Elephas maximus indicus: one gene and its partners. The protein of the gene in region 3 interacts with the protein of the main gene of each other region in a biochemical or structural test. Links are inferred from orthologs where the notes say so. Each region holds a gene or a part of one and is shown on either strand. Other genes may lie near its edges.

Evidence for each region.
Region 1: the proteins of OIP5 (region 3) and MIS18BP1 form a complex in vitro, tested with the Homo sapiens proteins (2 studies listed by BioGRID). The link is inferred for Elephas maximus indicus from reciprocal best matches to the Homo sapiens genes OIP5 and MIS18BP1.
Region 2: the proteins of OIP5 (region 3) and HJURP form a complex in vitro, tested with the Homo sapiens proteins (2 studies listed by BioGRID). The link is inferred for Elephas maximus indicus from reciprocal best matches to the Homo sapiens genes OIP5 and HJURP.
Region 4: the proteins of OIP5 (region 3) and MIS18A form a complex in vitro, tested with the Homo sapiens proteins (3 studies listed by BioGRID). The link is inferred for Elephas maximus indicus from reciprocal best matches to the Homo sapiens genes OIP5 and MIS18A.

Annotation. Positions count from the first base shown.
Region 1 is NC_064828.1:57,674,436-57,682,440, reverse strand, and holds the start of MIS18BP1 (mis18-binding protein 1), read left to right. Parts: upstream 1-4,986; 5' UTR 4,987-5,463; intron 5,464-8,005. UniProt on the Homo sapiens protein: Required for recruitment of CENPA to centromeres and normal chromosome segregation during mitosis.
Region 2 is NC_064824.1:136,096,037-136,102,895, reverse strand, and holds the start of HJURP (Holliday junction recognition protein), read left to right. Parts: upstream 1-3,826; 5' UTR 3,827-3,850; coding exon 3,851-3,946; intron 3,947-4,513; coding exon 4,514-4,580; intron 4,581-6,859. UniProt on the Homo sapiens protein: Centromeric protein that plays a central role in the incorporation and maintenance of histone H3-like variant CENPA at centromeres.
Region 3 is NC_064828.1:14,707,760-14,715,570, reverse strand, and holds the start of OIP5 (protein Mis18-beta), read right to left. Parts: upstream 3,012-7,811; 5' UTR 3,007-3,011; coding exon 2,682-3,006; intron 2,429-2,681; coding exon 2,362-2,428; intron 1-2,361. Other genes in the region: NUSAP1 (nucleolar and spindle-associated protein 1), read left to right, coding at 3,352-3,444. UniProt on the Homo sapiens protein: Required for recruitment of CENPA to centromeres and normal chromosome segregation during mitosis.
Region 4 is NC_064836.1:29,347,922-29,354,926, forward strand, and holds the start of MIS18A (protein Mis18-alpha), read left to right. Parts: upstream 1-3,994; 5' UTR 3,995-4,023; coding exon 4,024-4,351; intron 4,352-6,951; coding exon 6,952-7,005. UniProt on the Homo sapiens protein: Required for recruitment of CENPA to centromeres and normal chromosome segregation during mitosis.

The DNA of each region.
Region 1 (8,005 bases), about 43 Mb from region 3:
ATACATTGTAGACACTATTTCATAACCAAGGTTCATCCTTTAAGGGTTCATAAGATTTCAAGAAGCCATAAGTCACCCCAAAATCATATATAAAAATTTGCTTGAATCTCTATATACATTTTTTCAGGATAGGAGATTCCTTTTCATTAGATTACCCAAAGACTCATCAAATGGAAAAAAGTTAACATCCACTGGATCAGAAGCTCCCAGTTAATACATGGTGGCCTGAATATTCCTATTGATCCTCCCTCCTTTCCTCCTTACTGTCGTTAACATGACAGTTAAAAGGGGGCATTTGGTCCACACAGACAAAAAGAACAGGAAATGATAGCTGATCACAGGTGCCAACAGAATTCTGGAAGCCAAAAAACACATGGATGAGTAAAAACTGAACTAATAGATTAGAGATATAAGAGGCCTAAGCCTGCAGGGGCAAGGAAGCCAAGGAGAAATAAGCTGATTGGCATTGCAAATCCCAGAAAGTTTCAGGAATTAAGGGTTCTGAGCCCATTTAAAGGCAAAAGTGTAGAGTTGGGCTGAATACAGGAGAAAGGCTTGAAAGGCTGTATTAAAAAAATAAGTTTCCCAGACTTTTTTTCCCAGCCCAAGACTTGGAGGCACCTCTTACAGCTGAGAGATGAGGTGCCATCTGATAATAAGCAATTAATTAAAAGTCTTCATACCCAAAGGTGACACCCCTAGCCCTCCTGCCCTGCTTAGCTAACAGAGCTGTAGAAGATACATATACCCTGTGCTAATTGTTCTCTGCTTGCCTCTTCACATTTGTTACCAGTTCTCTCCCTTGCCCTGGGAGGAGGACATCTGCAGACTGTAATCACCCAAAGCTATCTTAGCCTTTTCCAATTAGAGGCACTAGCAGAATATCAGAGGGTGGAAGAAGAGAAACATTGTGCTGTTTCTTCTACTTCTTCCCTGCTCCCTGCCATTTTTTTTTTTTTTTAGCAAGTTCCAGGAATGCTGTTCCTTTCCCCTGCCACTTTAGGCCAAGAGGAGGTAAGGACTTCCAGCTGTTTTTAGTCCTTGGTTATTTCACCTCTCCTGTTTGTAAACAGTCCCTTCATTAAACACCCTTCAAGGAACCCTTATGTTACTCTCTTCAATTACCCACTGAGTGATCCATCTGTTTCTTACAGACCCAGACAGATATACATCCTCTCTTGGACCTGAACAAGCCCAAGAAAAAGACCTACAGATGTTTGTTTCTAAACAAAAGAGAATAGCATGAACAAATGCCCAGAGGTATGAAACAGCTAATTGTGTTCCAGTAACCTTAAGTGTTACTAGGTGCTATGTGTGAGATGAGGAGTGATGGGAGATAAGCCCAGAAGCAGACAAATGTCAATTCACAGAATATCTTGTGAGCCAAATCAAGGAGCTTGGACTTTACCTTGTAGGCTCCACAGAGTCACTGAAGGATTTTGAGTTTCAAATTAATCACACTGGAGGCAGTATGAAGGAAAACAATGAGATGAAGTAAAGATGAAAGACAGGAGAGAGACGAACAACTGCAATAGTTCCAATAAGAGAAATTGAAGGCCATAATTCAGATAGCGGCAGAGCAATAGAGGGACTAAACAGGAAATTAGTGGTTATTTGGACGTGGGAAACACAGTAGGGGAATGAAAGGAAGAGGATGGCCCCTCAGGCCTCTGATTTAGCAGTTGGATGAACAGCCTTTCACTGAGATGAAGAGTGTGGAGGAGGAGTGAGTTTTGAGAGTAGGAATTCATTGGCGGAGGAAGACAGAACGATGGAAAGTTGTATTCTGAACAAGTTGAGTTTAAAGTATCCCTGGGATGTCCACATGAAATTGGCCCCAAGGCACAGGGGAAGAGCTTTCTGTCAATTCGCTGAACTCAGTCAGTGTGGAGGACTTTGAACTCTGAGTTTTCCTCTCTCTTCAACGAGAGGGGGGGTGGGGGTGTGAGGGACTCCAGATCCAGATCCAGAGAAAAAAGGCAGAGCAAAACTGACTTTGACCTTAAGATGGCAGCAGGCAGTAGGTACCCAAACCCAAACCAAATCCATTGTCATGGAGTCGATTCCCACTCATAACAACACTACAGGACAAAGTAGAACTGCCCCATAGGGTTTCCAAGGCTGGGATCTTTATGGAAGCAGACTGTAACATCTTTCTCCCATGGAGCAGCTGGTAGGTTCAAACTGCCAACCTTCAGTTAGCAGTTGAACATGTTAACCGCTGCACCACCAGTGCTCCTAGGCAGCAGGTAAAACCAGAATAAAATGTTCCCAGTGCAGGCACCCATTTAACCACAAGACACACTAGAGAGCTTACCTTCAGGAGCGCTGGGTCCTAATCAGCACCTACTCAGCATTGTAAAATCACCACTTACGGTGTTGTGGATTTTGTTTGCTACTAAGGAAGGGACTTTCTCCAGTGAACAGGGATGAAAACAGACATTTGGAAAAGTCTACAACAGAGTATCTAAGCTCCAGTATGCTCTAAGAGCTGGGAAGATGGTGTGTGATGAGCAGGGACTCCAGAGTCATACAGGTGCCTATTTAAACTGGACATCAGGAGCTATGGGATGGCGGATGTGAGTTCAGTATGAACCATGAGGTATGAAAGGTGACCCAGAAGTTACGTTAATTGGCACAAAACAGTGAGAAACAAGAACAAAGACACTAACAGAGCTGTGTATCACCAGGTAGGACTACAGGTTTCACCACAATTGATTCTTGAAGAGGTCCAGGTACTGCCAGGCCAAATACTAGATTACACGTGGGCAATTTGCCCTGCTGGCCCTTAAATACCACTGTAAACACAGCAGTGGGGTCACTCACTGTAGAACTAGACCAGTTAGCAAGAAAAAAGCCAAATCAATGTGATTGTGTCTTTGCATGTTGACTCCATCTCTGAATAGTCCCCCTCTCACAAAGCCCAGATAACCTCCCTGTTGACTCCCTCCTCATCCTCCTCTAGGCCTGGACATGGCAGTAGTGGTTATGCAGTTATACAATACATAAGGGCACTCAGCTGCAGGAGAGGGGATTGAAATCGTGTTTTAGGGCTACCTCTGCCAAGAGTAGGATTTCCCAATCTTGGCACTACTGATATTTTAGGCTAGATAATTCTTCATAGTGGAGGGGCTGTCTTGCGAATTGAGGGATGTTTAGTAGCATCCCCAGCTTCTACCTACTACATGCCAGTAGCACCTCTGCAGTTGTGACAATCATGTTTCCAGACATGTTTCCAAAATTGCCCCTGGTTGAGAATCATTGGCCTTGAAGGCCATCTTTTTCTAATTTACAAAAAAAAATGCCATATAGGCAAGTAGTAGCACTGTTAGAACTCACCATGGTCCTGGGAATATTCCTCCAGGCTAAGCAGTTCTAGATGCTTTGGCAGTTCTTCCCAGAGTGACACTTCCAGTCCCTATCTCCTATGTCTGTCCTCTGGACCCTAAATGGATCTGTATGTGTCCCCATGAGTTACAGCCCTAGGACTGGGCAGAGTATTTCAGGTGAGTGACTGTGGAGTAGGAGAAGCTCTCCTCTCCAGACAGAAACTTTTAAAAGTACCCACCCAAGGCAGCATGTCGACCTTCTAAAGGGCGGATGAATATTTGCACCTTGGCTTCTTTGCCTTCCCATCACTCTTCATTATTCACAAACTGTTTCATCCAGTTTTGCTTGGAAATTCCTTATGTAAATCCCTGTGGCTGTTCACATGCTATATACTAGTTACTTTTCACAGAAGTGGTTAGTTAAAAAAAATATATGAAGTCTGTAATTCTGAGAGTCTGCCCTTAAGATTTCAGGAATTTTTATTTTGTCTGAATGTGTAAGCCATGGCTATCTCCATCATCAGCATAGAAACCTTTCATAACTCCATTGCATATGACGAATACATATCTCTTCAAGGTCGCTCTAGTCCACAAAGTTTATTTCATACCTGCCACTTAACATATATTTTTAAGACTTATCTTTCCTAGAAATTTGGTGCAAATCCCTGTCCAGTCATTTTCCTGTTATCCTGCAGAGGCAGAAACTTCACTTTACCCATGTAGATTTGCTTCACTCCCCCAATTCCCAAACGGTTTCTTTTCCTCACTTGCATTCATTTACACGCTTTACATTTGCATTTTGGATTCTGAATATTCTATGCATAAAATGTAGCAGATACAGGCTTCAGAAGTGCAAAATGTCACTTTAAAAAATTAACCCATTACAAACTTTTGAGTCCAGTACGATAACAATCATAATGAGGAAATGCAATATGACTCTAAAAAGCTGAGGAATTTTCTTTGCAATAAAAAGGATTTATGTCCCAAATGCTGATTTGAGAGGGGAGTTCGTGGGGAGGAGACGCGGGACTGGAGCTGGGTAGAGTTTACGGCTGAAAATATTTGCCACTGCCCTGGCTCGCCCTTCTCCATCCCCCAAGACTCAAGCAAGGCGCCCTACACAGCGCTTCCAGCCAGCGACTGCGTCTTCCCGGGGCGCTGCAGCGAAGGACACACTCTGTCCTCCGTGGTGGTTGGAGCAGAGCATCACTGGGTGCGGCCTAAGGCAAGGTGGAGTCTGAGGGCCACTGTCGCAAAGTGCTTCGCAGTGTAGAGCTGTCGAGATATTGTTTCTAGAATTCGAGATGATCAGCTTCAAAAAACATCACCCTGCCTGCGGTAATAGCTAAAACTAAACATCCCACTGGAAGTGTCACTTTGCATTCAGTCCCTTATCCCTTCAAGAACAGAACGCTCATTCTCGACCTCAAATAATTCGTGGACTGAGACAACAAACGTTTCCTCAAATGTGTTTAACAAGATGTTTCCTCAAAGGTGGAAGGAACGTCTGCTAAACAGCACTGACGAGAACACGGAATATGGGAGGACCGGCGGACAAGTTCCCGCAGAACCGGTTCCCACAGGCTAAAGAAGACAGTAGCTGGGAGGGGCCAAACTTCATTAGTGCCAGAGCGTGCAGGCGACGTCTGACGACCGCCCTCCTACCGCAGGGCACGACGGGAGGAGTGGTGGAACGCAGACAGGCTCGCGGCGTGGCGCCCTCTGGAGACCAAACGAACCCTGCGGATGACTAGAGGGGCGCGCCCCTGGCCTGCGGCAACTTGGGGGTCTCCTACTTCTTTGTGGAAACAGCATTACCCTCGCGCCGCTCCCGCCGCCCCTAGTTTTCTCGCGTCCCTGAGAGGCGCACGGTGACGTAGTTCCTGTGTGCGCCAATCCGGGGCTGGCCGGAGGGCGGGCTCTTCGAATTTGAATTCCCAAACTGTTGTAGATGTCAGGGATCCTCAAGAGGAGGTGAACGTCGCCTGGGCCAGGGCCGCGGCAGACCGAGGCCGACGTGGGCCTGAGGCGCGAGTCCTGGGGCGCCTGACCACCTCCGCGCGGTGCCCTGACCACCTCCGCGCGGTGCCGAGCTGGGACTGCCACCGTCCGCCCTGCCAAGCCCTCCACCAAGGTACGGCCTCTTCGGCGCCTCTAGCCTTTTGCCGGCGTTGCAGGTGCAGCGGCTAGGCCCACGCGGGCCTTAGTAGATTCTGGCTTTGGCAGTGCTTTCGCGCTGCTCATTCATTCAGTGTTTATTTGTTGCGTGTCTACGCAGTTGTCAGAACACTCGGTCAGATTCGTTTCCGCTCAGATTCATTTCCATGTTAAGCCCTCTAGACCTTTGTTCTAAAATCACTCACAGGAAAAAAAAAAGAAAAAGAAAATGAGGTTAGAATGATTGTCGTTAAGAGCCTTCCAGTCAGCTCCTACTCATAGCGACTTCATGTATAACAGAAAGAAATATTGCCTGGGCCTGCACTATCTTCACAATTGTTGCTGTGTTAGAGCCCATGGTTGCAGCCACTGTGTCAATCCATCTCATTGAGGGTCTCCCTCTTTTTTGCCGACCCTCTGCTTTACCAAACATGATGTCTTTCCCCAGCTCTTGGTCCCTCCTGATGACATGTTCAAAGTAAGCAAGACTAGCTTCTAAGGAGCATTCTGGCTGTACACTCTCCAAGATAGGTTTATTTGTTCTCTTGGCAGTCCTTGGTATATTCAGTATTCTTTGCAGACACCACAATTTGGATGCGTTCATTTTTCTTCGTTCTTCCTTTTTCATCGTCCAGCCTTCGGAACACTGTTCTTTCTCAACTTGAGGGACACCAATTATCTGCATATTTCATCAGAGATTGAGCATTATTGATTTAGGGGTTTTTTTTTGTTTGTTTTTGTTCTGCTTTTCTGTTAACTAGGAAAGAAATAGGGCTTCAGGTCTTTCTTGGGTCGCCTATACTCAATGGTTTATTTGTTTTTCTTTTATTATTCTGCAAAGTTTCTATCGTCAGAAAAAAATCCTACGTGATTGTTTTAACACTCTGTCTACCACCAACCACACTGAAACCACTAAAAAATATTGGCAGATCTTTGGGCTTCTGTTGAGTTGCTGTTTATCACGTAGTGGTAGAGAAGGACTCCAAGAGAAACTTTGTGTCTTTTTGGGAGGGGGAGTAGAATCTGAGGGTTTTTAAGAATCTTGACTATTCGGCTTCTCCGTCTTATTACTTGCTTGAATGGGGGGGTGGGGGTGGGGGTGGGGGTGGTGGGAAATATGAAAGGGAGGAGCTGTGTCTTGGAGCCTTTCAATGTGACCATAATTATCTGCCTTTAGATGAAAACAGTTCTGTAACGACGGCACCGGGTTGTGGGATGTCTAGTACAGATTGGGTCTGCTTTCAGTGCTACTAGTGTATTTGCAGTTATCGTTTGCTTTTTTAGCATTTCATTAGGCTCTAAGGAATTGTGATTGTATAAGTGGTTCAGTGGTAGAATTTTCACCTTTCATGCAGAGACCCACGTTCAGTTCCCAGCCAATGCACCTCATGTGTAGCCACCACCTCTCTGTCAGTGAAGGCTTGCATGTTATGTTGCTGAAAAGGCTTCAAAGCTTCCAGACTAAGACTAGGAAGAAAGGCCTGTGACCTACTTCCAAAAATAAGGTGGAGAAAACCCTCTGAATCAAAATGGTCCTATCTGCAATCACTGGGATGGCACAGGACCTGGCAGCCTTTAGTTCCATTGTGCATGGGGTCTCCCTGAGTCGGGCAACGCAACAACAGCTGGCAGCTACAAACCTGCACACATTTTGCAATTTTTCCTGGTAACTGTCCAGCTTATTAATTTTTTTTTCTTTTGTGAGAGTACAGTTTTAGGGGATATAGTTAAAACTAAACTGTTAGTATTATAGCTCCCAGCACAGGACTCCTAGCACCTAGCATATTGCCTAACACATAAATATATCTGTTAATACATATTTACCAAATTATGTTCTGTGAAAGAACTACACTGGTGTTTGTGTTCAGGACAAGACTCCCAAGATAAACTTTGTCAGCTCTTATTATTGAGGAATTTTTTTTGTTTCTTTACTTTTCTTACTTAGCCACTGTCCCACCAGGGATCCTAGTATATTCTAAATTACTGAATAAAATATAAATTTGTATGTGAATTTTTAACTCACATATATGTATTTCACAGAAGTTATTGTAGATATAGACATTGGATGTCTTTTGGTCTGATTGCATTAGTATTTTCTGTGATTGGCTTTTTATGTTTATATGATGTCCTAAACTGATTGGAATAATTATAAATTCAGCAGTAAGAGATGCTATAAACCTAGTGTCTTAGTTATGTAGTGCTGCAATGACAGACCACAAGCAGGTGGTTTTAACAAATTTATTTTCTCACAGTTTAGGAGGCCAAAATTCTGAATTCAGAGTGCCAGATCTAGGGGAAGGCTTTCTCTGTCAGACATGGAGGGAGGTCCTTGTTTCTTTGGGCTTCTGCTTCTGGGCGATTTTCATGTGATTAACATGTGCCTTCCCCATCTCTGCTTTTTGCTCTTGCTTGTTTGTTGTTGTTGCTATTGTTAGTTGCCGTCGAGTGGGTTCTGACTCATAGCCACCCTGTGTACAACAGAACAAAACACTGCCTGGTCCTGTGCCAACCTCACAATC
Region 2 (6,859 bases), on a different chromosome or scaffold from region 3:
AACCAGAGACTGATGATGACATTTCCACACCTTTCCATCACAATATCATTTACATGTCAACTCTATGCAGAATAAATTCCCATCGAGGTCAACAATTTGGATTCCACCAGGCGCTCCGTGGAAACCCTGTGGGGCCGTTCTGCTCTGTCCCATAGGAACTCTATGAGTTGGAATCAACTCGACGGCAATGAATTTGTTTGTTTGTTTTGAGCAAAATTCAGGCACATTTTATGAGAGTAGCTATAAAAAAAATCCGATGAAAATTATTTCCTGTCTACATAATTGTGAACAGATCTTTGAGGGTGAAAGTTCCAACAAGGCCAGCAGAGGGTGCTGTGCAAGGGATCCTGCATCTCTACTGCCTAAGGAAGCCTGTGAGCCCCCCAGGGGCTGCACCCAGCCACTTCCCATGCCACTTGCCCTGCCAAGGAAGGAGCTGAGTTGTAATGCTTCCCTGTTTCATGGAGATGGGGAGTGGTGAGGAAGCAGTTTTGTAGCAGTTCTGGGTTCCTGAGGTCACATGCTTAGGCTGTTACCGGTGGATGGAGGTTGTAGGAAAATGACCTCAAATTAGGAGCGTGATGCAGGGTTCCTCCCTCCTCAGCTGGGCTGCCACTTTGGCCAGGGGCTGGCCAGACAGAGACAATGCATGCTAAGGCTGGCTCAAGGGGGGACTGGCAAAGCAGAATTTTGGGGGTCTTTTTTTTTCTCAGTTAAAGATTTCGAAGCTGTCAACTAACAGGTTTTTGTCAAGCAGACTAGCGAATTGAAGTCAGCCAGACGCAGGGTTGTAAGAACAGAAAGGTGCCGGGGGCCAGCCTCAGCAATGAACAGGGTTACCAGAGGAGGGGTAGAGTTCGGCGAAAAAAAGAATGAGAGGTAGTGTGTCTTATATTTTCATTTCTGCAGAAAAAGAAGCCCTTCTGCTCTTTATTTTTTACATGGTCTTTTATATCATAAGCTTACAAAAGCATAACATCGCATGATCAATAAAGGGGCAGTACAAGATATAATCATAAACATCATTTCCCAGAGACATAATTTTCCAAGTGACACATAGTACAGTTCCGCATACACACACAAGTACAATGAATTTTTGTTTAATTGAAGAGAATATTTTGTTGATATATTTTTACACAAAGTAACAATTGACTTCATACTGCTTTACACTTTATGCTTAATCTTGCAATTCCTTCCACAGTTTTTATAATAATTAATCTTTTTGCAAAAACCATTGCCACATAGGCTTTGTCCATTTTGTCCAGGGTGGCCAAATTTTTGAAGTCCAGCCACTTTGGGTTACGTCATATTGTCCACGATTATGCCAAGGACAATTAGCCCAATCTCTATACCCAAAGACCAGTCAAGAGCAGCAGTGAGCGGGGTAGACGAGAAGGTTGACCTGTAATTGGCTGAGAAATTGGCTGAGAGAACTCACTGCCTTTTGTTTTTCCACTTTTATGGGGTCATGTGTGGGTGGTGGTTTAATCACAAAAGGGCCTTGGTAAATACCAGGATTTCACCATCCTATTCTTATTTTCCATAGTCGAGCTATTTGTTTTTCCCCTAAGACAACTTCATGTTGATCCCCAAGTAACACACGGGCTGTCCCTACCCGAGATTTCACCAGGGGATTATGAGTAGGACGCCCCCCGTCCAAAGGTCCCTAAATCTATAATGGAATTTTATGCTTATACATTCTGCTATACACAGGCTGAAAATGAAATAGAAACATAACACAGATGACAGAGATATTCCTGACTTTTCAGGAATTCTTCGATGTTTATGCTAGGGGCAGTGGGTGCAGAGGGGCCGCCCTTGCAGCCTGGCTCTTCCTGACTTTTCAGGAATTCTTCAATGTTTATGCTGGGGGCAGTGGGTGCAGAGGGGCTGCCCTTGCAGCCTGGCTCCTCCTGACTTTTCAGGGATTCTTTGATGTTTATGCTGGGGGCAGTGGGTGCAGAGGGGCTGCCCTTGCAGCCTGGCTCCTCCTGACTTTTCAGGGATTCTTTGATGTTTATGCTGGGGGCAGTGGGTGCAGAGGGGCCGCCCTTGCAGCCTGGCTCCCAGCAGAAAGGTTTACCCAGTTTGCAAACTGGGAGGCACGCAGGGTCTCTGACCTAAGGCTGCCAGCTCCCTGAATCAGGGCAGATTTGCTCCTTTTATGCGGAGTGGCGTTCATATGCATGAACAGTGAAGGGAGGATCTTCAGTCTTGTGATGCACGCACAGTCCGCAAAATTTTAGTGAATGGGTTTTTGAACATGGCTCTAAAAATACTGCCCACAGCCCTGAAAAAATGACAACGGCTCGCTCTTGCCACCCCAGGAAGGTCAGAAAGCGGGTAGGTTCAGAGTCAGTGTGCCTGTGCTTTGGTCTCCTGCCAGGATAAACAAGAAAATTGTAACAAAAACGGAGCAAGAGTAGACTTTTTTGAAAAACAACTATTATGGGATGGTTAATAACCTTTTCATGACGGCCTGCTTCAATTTTACCTTGAGAACTCTCTCTACCGAAGCAGCCCATGAGCCCGTGGAACAGAGGCAGATTCCTGGGATAGTCAGTGAAGCCAGCCAGGAATGCCCTGGAGCAGAAACCCCAGCAGTGTCCCAGGACCGGGGACCAAGTCCTAGGAGAGGCAAGTTTTGAAATGGGGTGCTATTACGTGGGTAGAGGGTCACAGAAGAGAAGGCTGTCCAAGGCTTAGAGGAGAAGCAAAAGAAAACCTTGCAACATTTTGTTCTGTTATCATAGGGTCGCCAGAGCCAAATCTACAGCACGTAACCCTGGTGGCATAGTGATTAAGAGCTACAGCCACTAACCAAAAGGTCACCAGTTCGAATCCACCAGGTGCTTCTTGGAAACCCTACGGGGCAGCTCTTCTCTGCCCTACAGGGTCGCTGTGAGTCGGATATGCTTATATAAGCATAGAGAAAGGTTGAACCAATCTTAATGAAATTACTAGCTCAGGTGGGAAACTAGAGGGGGGCTGTAATTTTTACTTTCTCTGTGTTGTTTTGGAAACCCTGGTGGCATAGTGGTTAAGAGCTATGGCTGCTAACCAAAAGGTCGATAGCTCGAATCCCCCAGACACTCCTTGGAAACTGGTGCAGTTCCTCTCTGTCCTGCAGGGTCGCTGTGAGTTGGAATTGACTTGATGCCAACAGGTGTGTGGTGCTGTGTTGTTTTAAATAATCTATGCTGAAGATGCGTTATCAGAAAAGAACCACCAAGACATTCCCATCTAAAAGAGAAAGACTGAAAAAGACTGCTCTGGTAGCAGAGAAAGGCACCAGAACCTGGATGTCAGAGAGGAGGCAGAACAGATTTATCACCAGGCTAGTCGTTGACAGAGCGGATTCCATCTCATGGCGACCCCATGTGGTAGAGTATAACTGCTCCATAGGGGTTTCTTGGTTCGTGACCTTTCTTTCACTGAGCCACTGAGTCAGCTCGAACCTCCAAACTTCAGATTAGCAGCCAACTGCAACTGCAGGCACCACCCGGGCTCTATGGGTTAATAATACATAGCTCAAAGAGCTGCCGTTGAATTGTTAATTAATAGGCGCAGAACGGCAGGAAGAGCTCCCCCGCGGCACTCCCCCGCCCGCACCCACCTCCGTGCCTTTCCTATAATCCCGCGCCACCGGATGGGGCGGGGCCGGGGACTCAGGGGCGGATTGGCCGGCAGGAAGTCGCGTGTATACGTTTGAAAGGCCCAATCAGCGCCCGCCTCACAGCACCAGCCAATAGGAAGCCAGAGAATGGCAGGAGGGCGGGAGCAGCGTATTTGAACGGCGGCGGGAGCGGCTCTCCGGGCGGCCCGGACTCGCGGCGGCAGCCTGTGCGCCATGGCGGCCGAGGGCTGCGAGGAGGCCGAGCTGACGCGGAAGCTCCAGGACAGCCGCCATCGCTTCCAGAGGCGCATGCAGCAGCTGATAGAGAAGGTACGGCCCTCAGCTCCGGCTGGAAGGGGTGGCCAGGCGCAAGGCTAGCGGGACTAGGGTGGGGGAGTCGGGGGCTGGGGTGCAGGGACCTGGGTGCAGGGAGGGCGCGGGGAGACGGGACCCGGCTATGCGAAGGGGGAAGGCAGGTCCGGGACCGGGTGCAGGGAGGGTGCGGAGAGGGGGGAGCCGGGCCGGGAACCGGGTGCAGGGAGGGTGCGGAGAGGGGGGAGCCAGGCCGGGAACCGGGTGCAGGGAGGGTGCGGAGAGGGGGGAGCCGGGCCGGGAACGGGGTGCGGGGAGGGTGCGGAGAGGGGGGACCCGGGCCGGGAACCGGGTGCGGGGAGGGTGCGGAGAGGGGGGAGCCAGGCCGGGAACCGGGTGCAGGGAGGGTGCTGAGAGGGGGGAGCCGGGCCGGGAACGGGGTGCGGGGAGGGTGCAGGGAGGCAGGGATGTGGACTGAGGGGATGTAGAAAAACCGCCCAGCTATTCAGTAACTGTGAACTAACTGGGGGTGGGCGGAGAGGTTGCCTGGAGGTCTGACCTAGTGGGACGCCCCGTCCCCTGCAGTACAACCATCCCTTCGAGGACACGGTGCTGGTGGAGATGGCCACACTGACCTACCAGACGCCCCAAGGTAGGAGTTAACTCTCATTTCGGTTTAAAATGTGAATAGCGTCTTGTAGAGTTTTGAAATCCTGGCCGTGCTTTTATGAAAATAAACCTTGTTCATCTGACTAGAAATGAATTCCTGAAGACATAGATGGTTAAGAATGCACCTGCCTGGGTTGGCATCACAGCTCACACTTATGCTCCTGTCATCGTGGGAGAGTTGCTTAGCGTGGCTGAGGCTCAGTTTCCTCATCTGTAAAATAGGTATTGTAACAGTTAGGGTCCTGGTGAAGCCCTTAGGACAGTACCTGTGCCCTCCAGCACTTACGTTGACTGTCATTTGTCTTGTTTGACTTTGAATATTAACTGTTCTCCTTGAGGTTCTGATAACTTGAAACTTAATCCCAGTATGGGAAAGGAGCCATTCTGTTTAGCGATGGTGTTGCAAACTGATCTAAGTCAGTGCATTGCCCGCTGCCCGTTGATTCTCTGCTGTGAATGAGGTCAGTTCCTCTCTTCTCACTACTCCTTACTACTAACTCACCACCAAAGATGTTGTCGTTAGGTGCCGTTGAGTCACTTCCGACTCATAGCGACCCTATGTACAACAGAACAAAACACTGCCCAGTCCTGCACCATCCTCGCAATCGTTACTATGTTTGAGCCCATTGCTTCAGCCACTGTGTCAACCCTACTTGAGGTTCCTCTTCTCTTTTGCTGACCCTCTACTTTACCAAGCATGATGTGCTTCTCCACGGACTGATTTCTTCCTGAATCCAAGCAAGCGAGACAAAGTCTCATCATCCTCACTTCCAAGGAGCTCTCTGGCTATACTTCTTCTGAGACAGACTTCTGGCGGTCCATGGTATATTCAGTATTCCTTGCCAACACCATAATTCAGAGGCGTCAATTCTTCTTCTGTTTTCCTTATTCATTGTCCAGCTTTCACATGCATATGAGGCGATTGAAAACACCATGGCTTGGGTCAGGTGCACCTTAGTCCTCAAGTGACATCGTTGCTTTTTAACACCTTAAAGAGGTCTTTTGCAGGAGATTTGCCCAATGCAAATCTTTCTTGACTGCTGCTTGCATGGGCATTGATAATAAAAGAAAGGTAATGATGATGAAAGCGGATCTCAGATCCTGCTGCACGTTAAACAAGCAGGCACAAAACGGTTCATAAGACCTGCTCCTTAAGCGAAGTCCTAACTCTGTGGCTTTTTAGCTGATCTGTCCACACCTCGCTTGCGTACGTACAGTGAACTCGGTGAGTGCTTGTCTCTGAAGATGTTAGGAGCGCCAAAGAGTGTGTGGAAGTGGGTTGCTGTGAACACTAAAAAAAGGAGTATACTTGGTGTGGGTCAAAGGACTAGAATTGGCCATTTGTCACTCGTTTCAGAAAACAGGGAGGCCCTGGTGACTCCCTGGTGGCACGCAGTGGTTAAGAGTGTGGCTGCTAACCAGAAGATCTAAGTTGAAATCCACCAGCTGTTCCTTGGAAACCCTATGAGGCAGTTCTGCTCTCTGGTGTAGCGTTGCTGTGAGTCGGAATCAACCGACAGCAGTGGGTTTTGGTTTTTCTGGTTTCAAAAAATAGCTGAAATTCTCAAGCAGTCAGGGCGCCCTTTTGTTTTCTAAAATAGACCAGCAACCCTGAAACATGTGCAACTGAGTAGGGACTACACATGCCACACGCCCCCACACTAAGCCACAGGAAGGAGGAGCATGGTACAGTCAGTCATGCATGATCATTGATTGGATTGAGGGTAACTATACACTAAGACACCTTCATGCGTATTCATTGAGGCCCCAATTACTAAGGGACCCTGAACATTGGAGATCCTCTCTGGGGGCATCCTGTAGTGGGGAGAACATCCACATTGGCATCTGAGTGTAGGGAGGGTGAGGGGAGGGGATGGCCCAATCAGCACCCCACCTCACAGCACCAGCCAGTAGAAAGCATGCTGTGCATGGCAAGGTTTGTGTGGCTCGTCCCAGACCTTGCCAGATGTATCTCTTACCAGGTGTCCTTTCTAATTATATGTGTAGGTAGAAGGAGCCCTGGTGGGACAGTGGTTAGGGCTTGGCTGCTAACCAAAAGAACCCACCAGCTACTCTACGGAAGAAAAATGTGGCAGTCTGCTTCCATAAAGATTTACAGCCTTGGAAACCCTGTGGGGCAGTTCTACTCTGTCCTGTAGGGTCACTGTGAGTTGGAAACAGCTCCACAGGTTTGGTTTTTCTCTTTAGTGTAGGTAGACTCCATGAGTTCTGTGAGTTATTCTAGTGAATGACAGAACCCAC
Region 3 (7,811 bases):
AAAGAAAAAAATAGTTCCTATCTTATAGAGATTCTCACTAAAATATTTATGGATGGAATGATATGATTTCAGGTATGTGCTTCAAAATCACAGACAGGGGCAGTGGATATGATTATAGATGAAACAAGATTGGCTGGGAGTTGATAACTGTCCTAATTGAGTGATGGGTGCATAGAGGTCCATTGTACTCTTACGTGTTTGAAACTCTCCGTAACAATTAAAAAAGAATGTACTTTACTTATAATCAACATAATAAAATTCCATTCAAGTAAATACTGTGTTACACATAACAAAGGCTCTGAGTAACAAAGCTATTTAAAAGTGTCAACCCACTCTAATATTACTTTTTGAAATTAGTTACAATAAATCCTCCACCAGACACAGAATAACAGAATGTTGGTATAAGAAGGAACCTGGGATCTATCTACCTTATGACTTTGATTCTAAGATGCCATCAATTGTACAGCTCATGCCAACTTTAGGGCATTTAAATGTAAAAAAAAAAAAACTGCAGCTTAGAATTAATCCAACATAGTAGATTGAGAGGGACTGACTTCCTTCAAATGTCTTATTAAGAAGTTGGAAGTAGAATCCAGTTCTTCTCATTCCAAAATTTATGCTCCTTCAGCTGTATCAGGAATTATCCTCTTAATCCATTCTCAGACCCTTGTCTAGTTAATGAATGTGCATTCTTAAAATAAGGAATACAAGGTGTCATAAGCTGTGCTATTTCATAACCCTCTCCACAACCCCCATGGCCCTTCTTATTCCACAAATAGAGAAATACATGGCATTTTCCTCCTGTGTTTCACAAACCATGTAGACCAACACTATCCAATAGGAATATAATGTGAGCCACATATGTAATTTTAAATGTTCTATTAGCTGTGTTAAAAAAAAAAAGTAAAGAGAAACAGGCGAAATTAATTTTAATATATTTTATTTAACCCAACATATCAAAAATACCATTTCAACATGTAATCAATATTAAAAAAAAAAAAAACTTAATGAGATCTCTTCCATTCTTTCTTTTTTTATTAACCAAAGCTTTCAAAATCTGATGTGTATTTTGTACCTCAGTTCCGAGTGGCCACATTTCAAGTTCTCAGTAGCCACATGTGGCTAGGCTAGTGGTTATAGTGCTGGACAGCGCAGGTCTAGGTATACTATACTCCTCCCTAACAGGAAATTCAGAGAGCTTCTACCTCTGGCCCCAAATCTCCCAATTCCAGGCGGGCCACTACTCCTTTCCTCTCATCCCCTTGGAGGTGGGAAGGAGCCAGTGCAGGGAGTGAGTATCTTTCAGTCGGTAAAAAGAAAATGAGCAATGGGTCTAACTCAATTTGCTAAGCTTGTTCAGGCTGCAGAACTCTTCCTGGTCACTGAGAAAAACAACTAAGAATTACTACACTTTAACCCTAAAACTGAACCAAACTGTGGTTAGAATGAATTGACTTGCCGTTAAAGCCAACACTCAAAATTGAAGACCCTTGTAATATCAAATTCACTGATATTGTCACTTGTAAATCATAGTACAACCAAGACGCTAAGTTTACCAAGCAGTATTCAGGTACGTCAGGTCCCTGGGTAGTGCAAACTGTGCTCAACTGCTAACTGAAAGGTTGGCAATTCAAATCCATCCAGTGGCACCACAGAAGAAAGGCCTGACAATTTACTTCCCTAAGATTACACCAATGAAAACCCTATGGAGCTTAGTTCTACTCTGAAACACACGGGGTTGTCCTGAGTCCAAATGGACTGGACAGCAAGCAACTGGTTTTGGGGTTTTTTTTTTGTACTTAAGTACATGCTATTCAACTTGTGTTTTTCCCCAGTTTCCTAGTTAAAGACAGAATTAGTCCTCCGTGTTGTTGTTATGTGCCCTCTAGTGGGTTCTGAATCATAGCAACCCTATAGGACAGAGTAGAACTGCCACACACAGTTGCTAAGGAGTGGCTGATGGATTCAAACTGTGGACCTTCTGGTTATCAGCCAAGCTCTTAACCGCTGTGCCACCAGGCTCCGAGTCCTGCATAGCTTATTACAAATTTCATGTTAAGTGCAAACTATAATGGATATTTATCTTTCTTAGCCTAGCTTCACTTGCACATACTACTAGGGAGATGTGGCCCTCAAAGATCTTAAAAGCCACATACAAACATAACTTTTCCTTTCATTGATACATCAAGTTCGTACAAGAGTCATACAAGTAAAAGAAGCATCCTTCAGACATACTGTATTATTGAACAGATGAAACAATCTTTTCTTCTAGCGCAAGTCAGGAACAAGCTGTGTCAGTTCCAGGCTCCTCAGTCTCATTAAGTCAGGGACTAGACACCAAAGGGCAATTCCCACCCTTACCTGCCTTTGAGTGAACCTTCAATGCCAACCAATAAGGGCGCCTCCACATCGACGTTGTTTGTGGCTCCTGGGAAGACAAGCATTGGTCAGAATCGGTACCTCTGCCGGCCTCGAAGAGGAAAATCTCTCCCCCCACAGGTAACCTCACTGTGGCCATATTATCGGAAAAAAAAAAAAAAAAAAGACTCCCCCGCTGGCAAAGGGGTCAGTCGATACCCGTCCAAATCGACATCCCGTATTCCCAAACCGGCTCCAGGCCACTCAGTGGAAAGCGTGTGAACGCCCCACCTCCGCCTGCCCCGGATTACGCCCCCACTCACTGGAGAAGACCACGGTGCCGAGGGACCGCGACAGGTCCCAGGCGAGGTGCACCGAGTCGGCGAGCACGGCGTGGCACTGCGCACACTGGAACACGGCGCATCTCTCCGGCTGCAGCCACGACGGCAGCCGTGGGCCAGCTACCGGCTCCTCCGCTCCCAGCCCCGCGGGGCCGAGCAGCGAGGACCCTTTCACCACTTGCGTGTCCCACTCCATGGAAGACGTTAAAGAATGTTCGTCAGTAGCCTTCTTAGCGCCACCATCACAAAAGTCCCCACGCGGCAACTTCGCGTAGAGCAACCGATGCCGCCGGGGCCGAGCCGCCATTTTCCTTCAGCTGGCGCCTCCGTTTCGAAAACGCACCAGGCCCCGCCCCAAGCGAGATTCCAGCGTCTTCATTGGACGCCGTGTACCGTGGGCGGACACGCCTTCACACGCCCTTCCGCGCCGGGACGGGATAACGTGCCTCAGAGGGAGGAAATCAGCCTTTCTATTGGTTAGCGTCAGGAAACTCCGCCTACGAGACATTTCTAACCAATGGAAGTGCAGCGTTCTTAATTTAAACTGTATAAAGTTTTGCGCAGTCAACGCCTAGAGTGGCGCCAGAGTTTTGAACGGCGTTTTGAGAGCGGCCGACCGAGCTCTGCGCGGTCGCCCGGACTGCAGATCGCGATGACCGTACCCTCGCTGGAGGAGCTAGACTCCTTCAAGTACAGTGACCTGCAGAAGTTGGCCAAGACCCTGGGCCTCCGGGCCAACCTGAAGGTACGCTGTTGGCGGCGCAGGCCGCTGTGCAGGCGGGGTCGGATGAGGGGTTACCCGGGCCGACGCGGGGAAGCGACTGAGCGCGACTCGCGAGGTGAGGCAGCCGTCCCAGCCCGGGACGATAGGCAGGCTACTTGACTCACCGGGGTTCCTCTAACTCTGAGAAACGGAAGAGAGGCCGTAATTTGCACCGTATTTTGAGGCTGACTTTCCTGGAGCTCACATAGGCCTTTGCTCCAAGCCCGTTTGGGGTGGTTTTATTGGACACGATGCTTCCTAAGAGATCGGTTGGAAACGCAGGCTGAGAAAGCCCAAAGGATGCTCGTTAGTTGTTACGAAATTGCCGAAATAATTGCCCTGGCTTCTGGAAAACTCCAGTAACAAGTCTAGATTTTAATAAAGGCCTATAATCTCTCTCTTTTTTTAACTTGTACTTTTTTTTTTTTTTAATAATCTCTCTTTTTTTTTTTACTTGTACTTTAGTGGAAAGTTTACGGAGCAAATTAGTTTCTCGTTCAACGATTTCTACACAAATTGTTTCTTAGCATTGTTTGCAATCCTGCATTGTGTCAGCGCTCGCACCCTATCCCTTTACACTCTAGGTTCCCTAGATCCATTCACCCACTTTTCTCGCCCCTTCCCGCCTTCATGTCTTTGTTTTTGGGCAGGTGTTGGCCATTTGATCTTATATACTTGATTGATCCAAGAAGCACGTTCCTCACGAGTGTTATTGTTTTTATAGGCCTGCCTAGTCTTTGGCCGAAAGATGAACTTTGGGGAGTGGTTTCAATTCTGAGTTAGAAGGGTTTCCAGGGGCATAGTCTCACAGGTTCCTCCAGTCTCTGTCAGACCAGTGAGTCTGGTCTTGTTTGTGAATTTGATCATTCTACATTTTTCTCCAGCTCTGCCCAGGGCCCTCTGTTGTAATACCAGTCAGAGCAGTCAGTAGTGGTAGCCCAGCGCCATTTAGTTCTTCTGGTCTTGGGTTCCTTGTAAGCTGTGGTTCACGTGCATCATTAGTCTTCTGGACTAATTGCTCCCTTGAAACTGTAGTGTTTTTTTTTTTTTTTTTTTTCTTTTTTCCCACTCTCCTTTGTTCCAGACCAGAAGAGACTGGTAGTTGGATCTTAGATGGCTGCTCGCAAGCTTTTAAGACCCCAGACACTACTCACCAAAATAGCATGTAGAACATTGTCTTTAAGAACTACGTTGTGTCAGTTGATGTAGATGTACTCCAAGTCTATGGTCCTTTGCCTTCGAGCCTGGGAACTTCATCCATTGAGGTGTCTAGTGATGCCTAAAATGTTTCCCAGACGCTGCCACTTGTGTGCTCTATTGTCTATATTAACGTATGAGGAGCACTTCCAGTCAGGTATTTGAAATTTCTGCCACCGAACCTATCACTGCGGGTGGGTGTGCTCCCTTAGCCCATCTGTCACCTCTTGGCTTATTTGTGTATCCATCCATAGATTATTGTTTGCTGATTCTATTGTTACAGGATTATTTATGCTGTAGTAGTTACCATAGTTGTTCGTTACTCCTGTGTTCCTCTCAGTGTCCTCTCTTGCCTTGGTCACGTTGTGCTGACTTCTCCCATATTGTGTATTGCCTTTCCCTTCCCCCCTATTAACTGGTGGCGTAGTGGTTAAGAGTTGTGCCTGCTGACCAAAAGGTCAGGAGTTCGAATCCACCAGGCGCTCCTTGGAAACTCTATGGGGCAGCTCTCCTCTGTCCTGTAGGGTCACTATGAGTCAGAATCGACTTGAAGGCAATGGGTTTGTTTTTTTTTTTTGGTACTATCTCTTTGGGAATGTTCCCTCCCTCTTCCTCCCATCCCTGTTAACCATCAAAGAGTTTTTTTTTTCTTCCTGTGTGTAAAGCTTTTGTTACTTTATAAAAGCAGTCTCACACAATATTTTTCTTTTTGCGATTGACTTATTTCACTTAGGAACTCTGGTGACGCAGTGGTTAAGAGCTTGGCTGCTGACCAAACGGTCGGCATTTCAATCCACCAGCTGCTTCTTGGAAACCCTATGGAGCCGTTCTGCTCTGTCCTATAGGGTTGCTATGAGTTGAAATCCGCTCGATGACAACAGGTTATTTTTCCTTTTTTTTTAATTTTGCTCAGCCTAACGACCTCCAGATTCATCCATGTTGTGAGATGTTTTGTGGATTTATCGTTATTCTTTATGGTTGCGTAGTATTGCATTGTGTATGTACCACAGTTTGTTAATCCATTCATCCGTTATGGCATTTAAGATTGTTTCCACCTTTTGCTATTGGGAATAATGCTGCAGTGAACATGAACATGGGTGTGTCTATTCATGTCATGGCACTTATTTCTCTAGGGTAGATACCTAGGAGTGGGATTGCTGGATCATATAGTGTCTCTATTTCTAGCTTTTTGAGGAAGCTCCATACCGTTTTCCATAGCGGTTGTACCATTTTATAGTCCCACCAGCAGTATATAAGTGTTCCAGTCTTTCCACATCCTTGCCAATATTTATTATTTGATTAGTGCCAGTAATGTTGGGGTGAGATGGTATCACATTGTAGTTATGATTTGCATCTCTCTAATTGCTAATTATCAAGAGCATTTCTTCATATGTTTGTTAGCAACCTAAATGTCTTCTTTGGTGAAGTGTCTATTCATATCCTTTGCCCATTTTTTAACTGGATTATTTGTCTTTTTTTGCTGAGGTGTTGAAGATTTCTCTAAATTTTAGAGATTAGACCCTTGTTGGATTTGTCGTAGCCAAAGGTTTTTTTCCAATCTGTAGGTTGTCTTTTTACTCTTTTGGAGAAGTCTTTTGATGATATAAATGTTTAATTTCTAGGTGGTACCATTTATCTAGTTCATTTTCTTCTGTGTGTGTACTTTTAATAATGTTTGGTAATCTGTTTGTGCCATGTATTTTTCTTCCATGATCTTTATAGTTTTATATTTAGATCTTTGATCCATTTTGAGTTAGTTTTTGTGTATGCTGTGAGGTAAGGATCCTTTTTCATTTTTCTACAGATAGATATCCAATTTTGCCAGCACCATTTGTTGAAGGGACTATCTCTTCCGCATTCAATAACCTTCGGTCCTTTGTCAAAGATCAGCTGTCTATAGGTGGATGGATTTACATCTGGGTTCTCAATTCTGTTCATTGCTCTATGTGAAGCTGACGACTTGCTGGTTCTTCGCCAGCAGACTAGAAGATTGAAGTCAGCCAGACTTGGGGTTGGAAGAACAGAAAGGTTTATTCACAGTTTGCAAACTGAGAGGCAGGCAGGGTCTCACAACCTAAGCCTGCCAGCTCCCTGAACTAAGCCAGATTTGCTCTTATATAGTGAGTGACATACATATTCATGACAGTGAGGGGAGGATCTTCAGTCCTGCAATGCACACACAGTCCGCATAATTTTTGTAAATGAGTTTTTGCGCACAGCCCTAAAAAATGGTGACCGCTTGCTACTGCCACCCAGGAAGGTTGTATAGCCCATAAATTTGGAGTTGGTGCTTCTCTGCCTCAGCCTCCTGCCAGGAGAAGAGAGGAAACCTGGTGAATCAACCAATCATGGTGAGGTATTGTAAAAGTTGCAACAAAAATGTAACAAGAGTAGACTTTTTGAAAAACAACTATTATGGGATGGTCAATAACCCTCTGCCTGCTTCATATGTGTCTGCTGTTATACCAGTAGAAGGCTGTCTTGACTACTGTGGCTGTATAGTAGGTGCCTCTAAGGTCTGATACTTTGTTTGGGGACCTGGCAGAAAGAATGGCTTGTTTGGAAGTACCCACCATGGATACATTTTTATAATTGAGCCCTGATCTAGTGTGATCGTTCCTTTATTGATTACTGTTATGGTGGTGGAGCCCTTGTGGCACAGTGGTTAAGAGCTCAGCTGCTAACCAAAGGTCAGCAGTTTGAAGCCACCAGCCATTCCTTGGAAACCCCATAGGGCAGCTCTGCTGTGTCCTGTAGGGTCGCTATGAGTTGGAATCGACTCAGTTGCAATGGGTTATTGTGGTGGTGGTGTTTCAATACCAGTAATACCTTCGATTTTGAGGTGGCAAAATGTTGGAGGAAAATATAGGGATTCAATATATGAGGATCCATGTTTTATATATACTAACTGTTTTCACACAAAATACTAAGGTATACTCAAGATTTGTACTACGTGCTGTGGTATTTACACTGAATGAATGCCTAAATCAGCCATCACAAGTGTTTTCAAATGGTTTAAACAACATAATCAGTGCCCAGGTTTGGTACCTGTTGGGGTTGGGTGACAAAGTAGTGTCCCTGGGAATACTTCTGAGCTATAATATTTAATGCTTCACCCCTGCCCCATATTCATGAGCAAAGCCTTAATTCCT
Region 4 (7,005 bases), on a different chromosome or scaffold from region 3:
GAAATAGAAATACCATAAGATCCAGCAATCCCACTCCTAGAGAAATAAGAGCCTTTACATGAACAGATATACACACACCCATGTTTACTGCAGCACTGTTTACAAAAGCAAAAAAATGGAAGCAACCAAGGTGCCCATCAACGGATGAATGGATAAATTACGGTATATTCACACAATGGAATTCTGCGCATCAATAAAGAACAGTGAGGAATCTGTGAAACATTTCATAACATGGAGGAACCTGGAAGGCATTATGCTGAGTCAAATTAGTCAGTTGCAAAAGGACAAATATTGTATAAGACCATTATTATAAGAACTTGAGAAACAGTTTAAACTGAGAAGAAAACATTCTTTTGTGGTTAAGAGAGGAGGGAGGGAGGGAGGGTGGGACAGGGGTATTCACTAATTAGATGGTAGATAAGAACTACTTTAGGTGAAGGGAAAGACAGCACACAATACAGGGGAGGGCAGCACAACTGGACTAAACCAAAAGCAAAGAAGTTTCCTGAATAAACTGAATGCTTCGAAGGCCAGTGTAGCAGGGGCAGGGGTCTGGGGACCATGATTTCAGGGGACATCTAAGTCAATTGGCACAATAAAATCTATTAAGGAAACATTCTGCGTCCCCCTTTGAAGAGTGGCATCTGGAGTCTTAAACGCTAGCAAGCAGCCATCTAAGATGCATCAATTGGTCTCAACCCACCTGGATCAAAGAAGAATGAAGAACACTAAGGACACAAGGTAATTATGAGCCTAAGAAACAGAAAGGGCCCCATGAACCAGAGACTACATCAGCCTGAGACCAGAAGAACTAGATGGTGTCCAGCTACAACTGATGACTGCCCTGACAGGGAACACAACAGAGAACCCCTGAGGCAGCAGGAGAGCAGTGGGATGCAGTCCCCAAATTCTCATAAGACCAGACTTAATGGTCTGACTGAGACTGGAAGGACCCCGGTGGTCATGGCCCCCAGACCTTCTGCTGGCCCAGGACAGGAACCATTCCTGAAGCCAACTCTTCAGACATGGATTGGACTGGACAACGGGTTGGAGAGGGATGCTGGTGAGGAGTTAGCTTCTTGGATCAGGTGGACACTTGAGGCTATGTCCGCATCTCCTGCCTGGAGGGGAGATGAGAGGGTAGAGGGGGTTAGAAGATGGCGAAATGGACACGAAAAGAGAGAGTGCAGGGAGAGCGGGCTGTCTCATTAGGGGGAGAGTAATTGGGAGTATGTAGCAAGGTGTATATAAGTTTTTATGTGAGAGACCGATTTGATTTGAAAACTTTCACTTACTGAAAGCACAATAAAAATTGTAAAAAAAAAAAACACAAAAAAACAAAAAAACCCACTGAGGATTCCTGCTTGCTGTCCAAAGTCTGAGCCGATGTAGATCCTTGTGGTTGTTCGCGGCTGTCAAATTGGCTCTGATTTATGATGACCCCATGTGTGTCAGAGCTGAACTGCTGATATTTTGGAAATAGATTACTAGGCTTTTCTTTTTTGTCTTAGTCTGGAAGCTCCACTGAAACCTGTGCACCATGGGTGACCCTGCTGGTATCTGAAATACCAGTGCCATAGCGTCCAGCATCATGGCAACATGCAAGCCATCACAGTATGACCAACTGACAGACGGGTGGTGGGTAGATCCGTAGCAGTGCTTTCTTCCCAGTTATGCTGCCAGGTGGTCTGCGATGCAGCCAGACCCCTTCCCCTCAGTCTTCCCACCACACCAGTGGTGCTTTAAATCAGAGGCTGGTTGAAGGAAGTCTGTGCTGACGATCCTGAGTGAATGCTCGCCTCTTGCGAGGGGCTGAGGGCTACCTGATGTAGACAGCAGAGGCACTGCCAAACTTTCCAGTAACACTGCTACTGCCCGCACCAGTGTCTGCAACTTCTTAATTTTTTTTATTGTGGTAAACATACATATATATGTTTTTCCAATTCAACAATTTTTACATGTAAAATTCAGTGACACTGATTGCGTTCATCATGTCTTGCCACTACTGATAGCTGCCAATCTCACCTTCCGTGAAGGAGACCTGGTGCAGGATGCCCAGGCAGTGTACCCCATGTGCAGCACCACCCATCTGTCAGTGCGGGCTTGCATGTTGCTATGATGCTGAACAGGTTTCAGTGGAGCTTCCAGACCACGATGGACTAGGAAGAAAGGACTGGCCATGTACTTCTGAGAATCAGCCAGTGAAAACCCTATGGATCACAGCAGTCGGTGGGGATGGAGCCGGACTGGGCAGCATTCTTCTCGGTCGAGATTGCCATGGGTTGGGGGTGACTCCAAGGCAGCTAACAAGAAGACCAAGGATTGTGAAGGTCTGGGTGAGTGAATGGTAATTTACTCTGAGGTCTGTGCACTTTTTCAAGGATGACATCCCCTAACACTCCCCCAAGAAGACCAAGGATTGTGAAGGTCTGGGTGAGCGAATGGTAATTTACTCTGAGGTCTGTGCCCTTTTTCAAGGATGACATCCCCTAACACTCCCCCAAGAAGACCAAGGATTGTGAAGGTCTGGGTGAGCGAATGGTAATTTACTCTGAGGTCTGTGCCCTTTTTCAAGGATGACATCCCCTAACACTTCCCCAAGAAGACCAAGGATTGTGAAGGTCTGGGTGAGGGAATGGTAATTTACTCTGAGGTCTGTGCCCTTTTTCAAGGATGACATCCTCTAACACTCCCCCAAGAAGACCAAGGATTGTGAAGGTCTGGGTGAGCGAATGGTAATTTACTCTGAGGTCTGTGCCCTTTTTCAAGGATGACATCCCCTAACACTCCCCCAAGAAGACCAAGGATTGTGAAGGTCTGGGTGAGCGAATGGTAATTTACTCTGAGGTCTGTGCCCTTTTTCAAGGATGACATCCCCTAACACTCCCCCAAGAAGACCAAGGATTGTGAAGGTCTGGGTGAGCGAATGGTAATTTACTCTGAGGTCTGTGCCCTTTTTCAAGGATGACATCCCCTAACACTTCCCCAAGAAGACCAAGGATTGTGAAGGTCTGGGTGAGGGAATGGTAATTTACTCTGAGGTCTGTGCCCTTTTTCAAGGATGACATCCCCTAACACTCCCCCAAGAAGACCAAGGATTGTGAAGGTCTGGGTGAGCGAATGGTAATTTACTCTGAGGTCTGTGCCCCTTTTCAAGGATGACATCCCCTAACACTCCCCCAAGAAGCTGAACACCCTTCTCAGTGCACACCAGCATTCCAGCAACTCTCCTCCTTTTTTTTTTTTAATTGTGCTTAAGGTCAAATTTACAAAGCAAATTAGTTCCCCCGTTCACTAGTTTGTACATAAAGTGTTACATGACTTTGGTGGTATTCCCCACAGTGAGTCAGCACTACCCCCGTTTCCATTCCGAGTTCCCCCTTTCCTTTCGTCCTGATTTATCTCGTGTAAAAAAAAAAAAAAAATTTTTTTTTTTAATTGTTCTAAGGACCACCTTCTCTCGGGAGTTACTGTTTATTTCACGGCCCTGTCTATGGTTTGGCTGAAAGGTGGCCTCTGGAAATGTGGCTGCAGTTCCACTTCAGAAGGGTGTCTTAGGGCCACAGTCTCGGGGGTTTCTCCAGGCTCTGTCAGACCCCGTAATTTGTTTTTTAACCCAAACCAAGCCTAACCCACTGCCAAGTGGATTCCAACCCATAGAGAACAAAACTTCCTCATAAGGTCTCCGAGGCTGTAATCTTCAGGAAGCAGACTGCCGCATCTCTCCGCCCCTGTAGCAACTGGTGTGTTCCACCACCAAACTTCCGGTTCGCTGCCGAGCGCTTCACCTACTGCACCACCAGGGCTCCTGACTTCTTAAAAGGGGTGGAAAACCTGACGCAGGCGCAGTGATCGACAGCCGCGTCAAGCCGACAGTGAGCACGCGCACGAGCCCATTGCCCGCTGTCCCTCCTCCCTCAGACCCCGCCCCTCAAGGCTCGACCTGGGCCGCTGCGCCCCGCCCCGCGCATGCGCAGGGCCGTTTTTTCCCGTGGTGCTCTAGGGCGCGGGTAATTTGTAGTTATGGCGGGCGCTCCGTCGCTGCGTTCTTGCAAAAGATGCTCCTCTGTTAGCTGTGCGTGTGACCAGGGCAAGTGGAGCGACTCCTCTCTGCTGGGCAGGAGGCTCTCCGAAGACTCGAGCCGCCAACAGCTGCTGCAGCAGTGGGCGAGCATGTGCAGCTCCGGGAGCTGGAGCGCGCCGGCGGCCGGCGCCGAGGAGACGTGGCGTGGGGAGGCCGCGGAGGAGGAGCGGCCGCTGGTGTTCCTGTGCTCGGGCTGCCGCCGGCCGCTGGGCGACTCGCTGAGCTGGGTGACGAGCCAGGAGGACCCCGACTGCATCCTGCTCCGCTGTCAGTCCGGGCGGGCGGGGGGCTTGGGGCCGCCGACTTCCCAGGTGTGCAGTATCTGGGCGGCTCGGAGGGAGGGGGTTGCCTTGGGACCCACTGCCGTCAGTCCATTCCGACTCATAGCGACCCTATAGACAGAATAGAGCTGTCTTATGGGGTTTCCAAGGAGCGGCTGGTGGATTCGAAGTGCAGACCTTTTGGTTAGAAGCCGAGCTCTTAACCACTCCACCACCAGGGTTCCACTGCACCACCAGGGACTTAAAATGCAGAGAAAGTTGAGAGGGGGAGCTGTGCTACGAAAAGGGGAGGAAGAAGGTCACCTGCACCTTTGGCTCAAGAGTGAGGGGCGGGTCCTTTATCTTGAAGCCACCGCCCCGCCCCCCATTCGAGAAGAGCAGTGGTTGAATCAGCAGCATTGTGAGCATTACTCAAAACATTACAACTCGATTGTAAGCCAGGACGTGTTTGTTGTTGTTAGGTGTTGTGGAGTCAAGTTGTTTTTAACTTTTCTAGAACTGTATATAAATATCTTGATTTATCCGCTTTAGACAATTTGATTAAAACTTTCTCCTCCACTTGGACTTCAATTATTCTCACTTTGTCATTGTTCTAGTATTTACGTTCTGCTCTGTAGCCATAATTCCCATGGTCATTTAGCCTTAAGGTAACATTTAAGTGGATTTATTTCTCAACTCTAGTACTCTTATCAGGAGTCCTGGTGGCACAACGGTTAAGCACTCAGCTGCTCATTGAAAGGTTGGTGATTTGAGCCTGCCCAGTGACTCCGAGTGAGAAAGATCTGGCAATCTGCTCCTGAAAAGATTAAAAAAAAAAAACAAACAACCAAACCCATTACTGTGAAGTCGATTCTGATTCATAGTGACCCTATAGGACAGAATAGAACTGCCCCATAGGGTTTCTAAGGCTGTAATCTTTATGGAAGCAGACTGCCGCATCTTTCTCCCACCTGGCTGATGGGTTCAGACTGCCAACCTTTTGGTTAGTAGCTGAGCACTTAACCACTGTGCCACCTGGGCTCCTTTCAGAATTGACTCAATGGCACATAACAACAGTACCCTTAGAGCTTTCCCTTCCTGACTGGTTTATTTTGATTGTTCTTGTTAGCTGCTGTGGAGTTGACCCCGACTCATGGCAACCCACACACAAAGGGATCGGACTGTTGCGATCCGTGGGGTTTACACTGGCTGATTTTGGAAGTAGATTGCCAAGACTTTCTTCCTAGTCAGAGTCTGGAAGCTTTGCTGAAGTCTGTTTAGTAGCATAGCAACATACAAGCCTCTACTCATATAGGTGGTGGCTGTGCTTGAGGAGTACTGGTCGGGAATGGAACCTGGGTCTCCCTCACGGAAGGCGAGAATTCTATCCACTGAACCACCGTGTCCCTCTTTATTTTGATTAATCGTCCTCAGTAGTTCCCATCCCCAAGAAAACTCCAGGTTTGAGTGCTTGAAAATGTCTGTTGTCTTTATACATGAATGTCTCTTTGGCCACACGTACACTTCTTCGGTCATGCTTTGTGCTTCCTCCAGGCATGAGGGGAGCAGGTGGTGCAAAGGCCCTGGGGCTTGTGAGTAGAATACAGATAAGATTCAGGGAAGAAGGAAGGGGCCAGAAAATGGAGAGCCTCGTATGCTATCTGAGGAGACAAAATCTATTCCAGTGGTTGAGGAGATGGGAGTGATATGACCCACTCGTGGAAGTAGGGAGACAAGTCAGGAGCTGTTGTGGAAGTCCACGCAAGGGGTGGTGGCAGCTGTGTTGGGGATGGAGAAGAGCAGATACTTTGGAAAGGCGTTTGTGAGGTAGAATTCACAGCACTTGTCAGTGGAGTGGGTGTGGGGAGCAGGATGAGACAGAAGAATCAAGGATGGCATTAGGGTGTCTGGTGGTGGCATTCACCAGGCTAAAGTGGACTGTAGGAGGAGGTGAAATCAAGGGGCTGTTTTGTTAGGTCCGATATGACATGGTCTTTTCTTCATTTCCCTCCACCTGGACCCTCTGTTAGTGCATCCTGAAACTGAATCCTCCGGTAACGTTTCCTGCTCGGGTTCTGCTGCGGCCCTTGCCCAAGTCATGGTCCAAGTAAAAGATTTTTGGCTGGGTTGCTGGGGACCATCTAAATTACTGTTGGAGAAATGAGCTTTCTTTTGGAGATCTAGATATGTACGCGTTGGATTTTAGCATCTTCCTTGGTTTTAATCCCAATTTCACCAAACCTGGCAGTTATTCTTTGTAATTTATGATTGGAGGTTCTCATTTTTCCAGGTTTTACTATTTCCTGAATTTTTCTTCTTAAGCTTATTCATTTTGTTCATATCACTGGTTTTCAGGGAAGGAAGTAACTCTTATTCTGCTGTCTTTTTCCAGAAGACTCCTGTACATTTAGTTTTAAACCCATGTGTTTTGTGTGTGTGAGTGTGAGAGAGAGAGACAGAAAGGGTGAGAGGGAGATACTTTGGCCTCTTATTTTTTCTGGCCCTCTGAGTTTTCATATAAAACTCAGATTAGAGGTTCTCTAAATATCTGCATGTGTATTATAACAAACCCCATTAACAAATTATAGTTACTTTTCTTCTTTCCAGGTGTCTCCTGTAATGTTTCTGTGGACAAGGAACAGAAGCTATCCAAACGTAAAA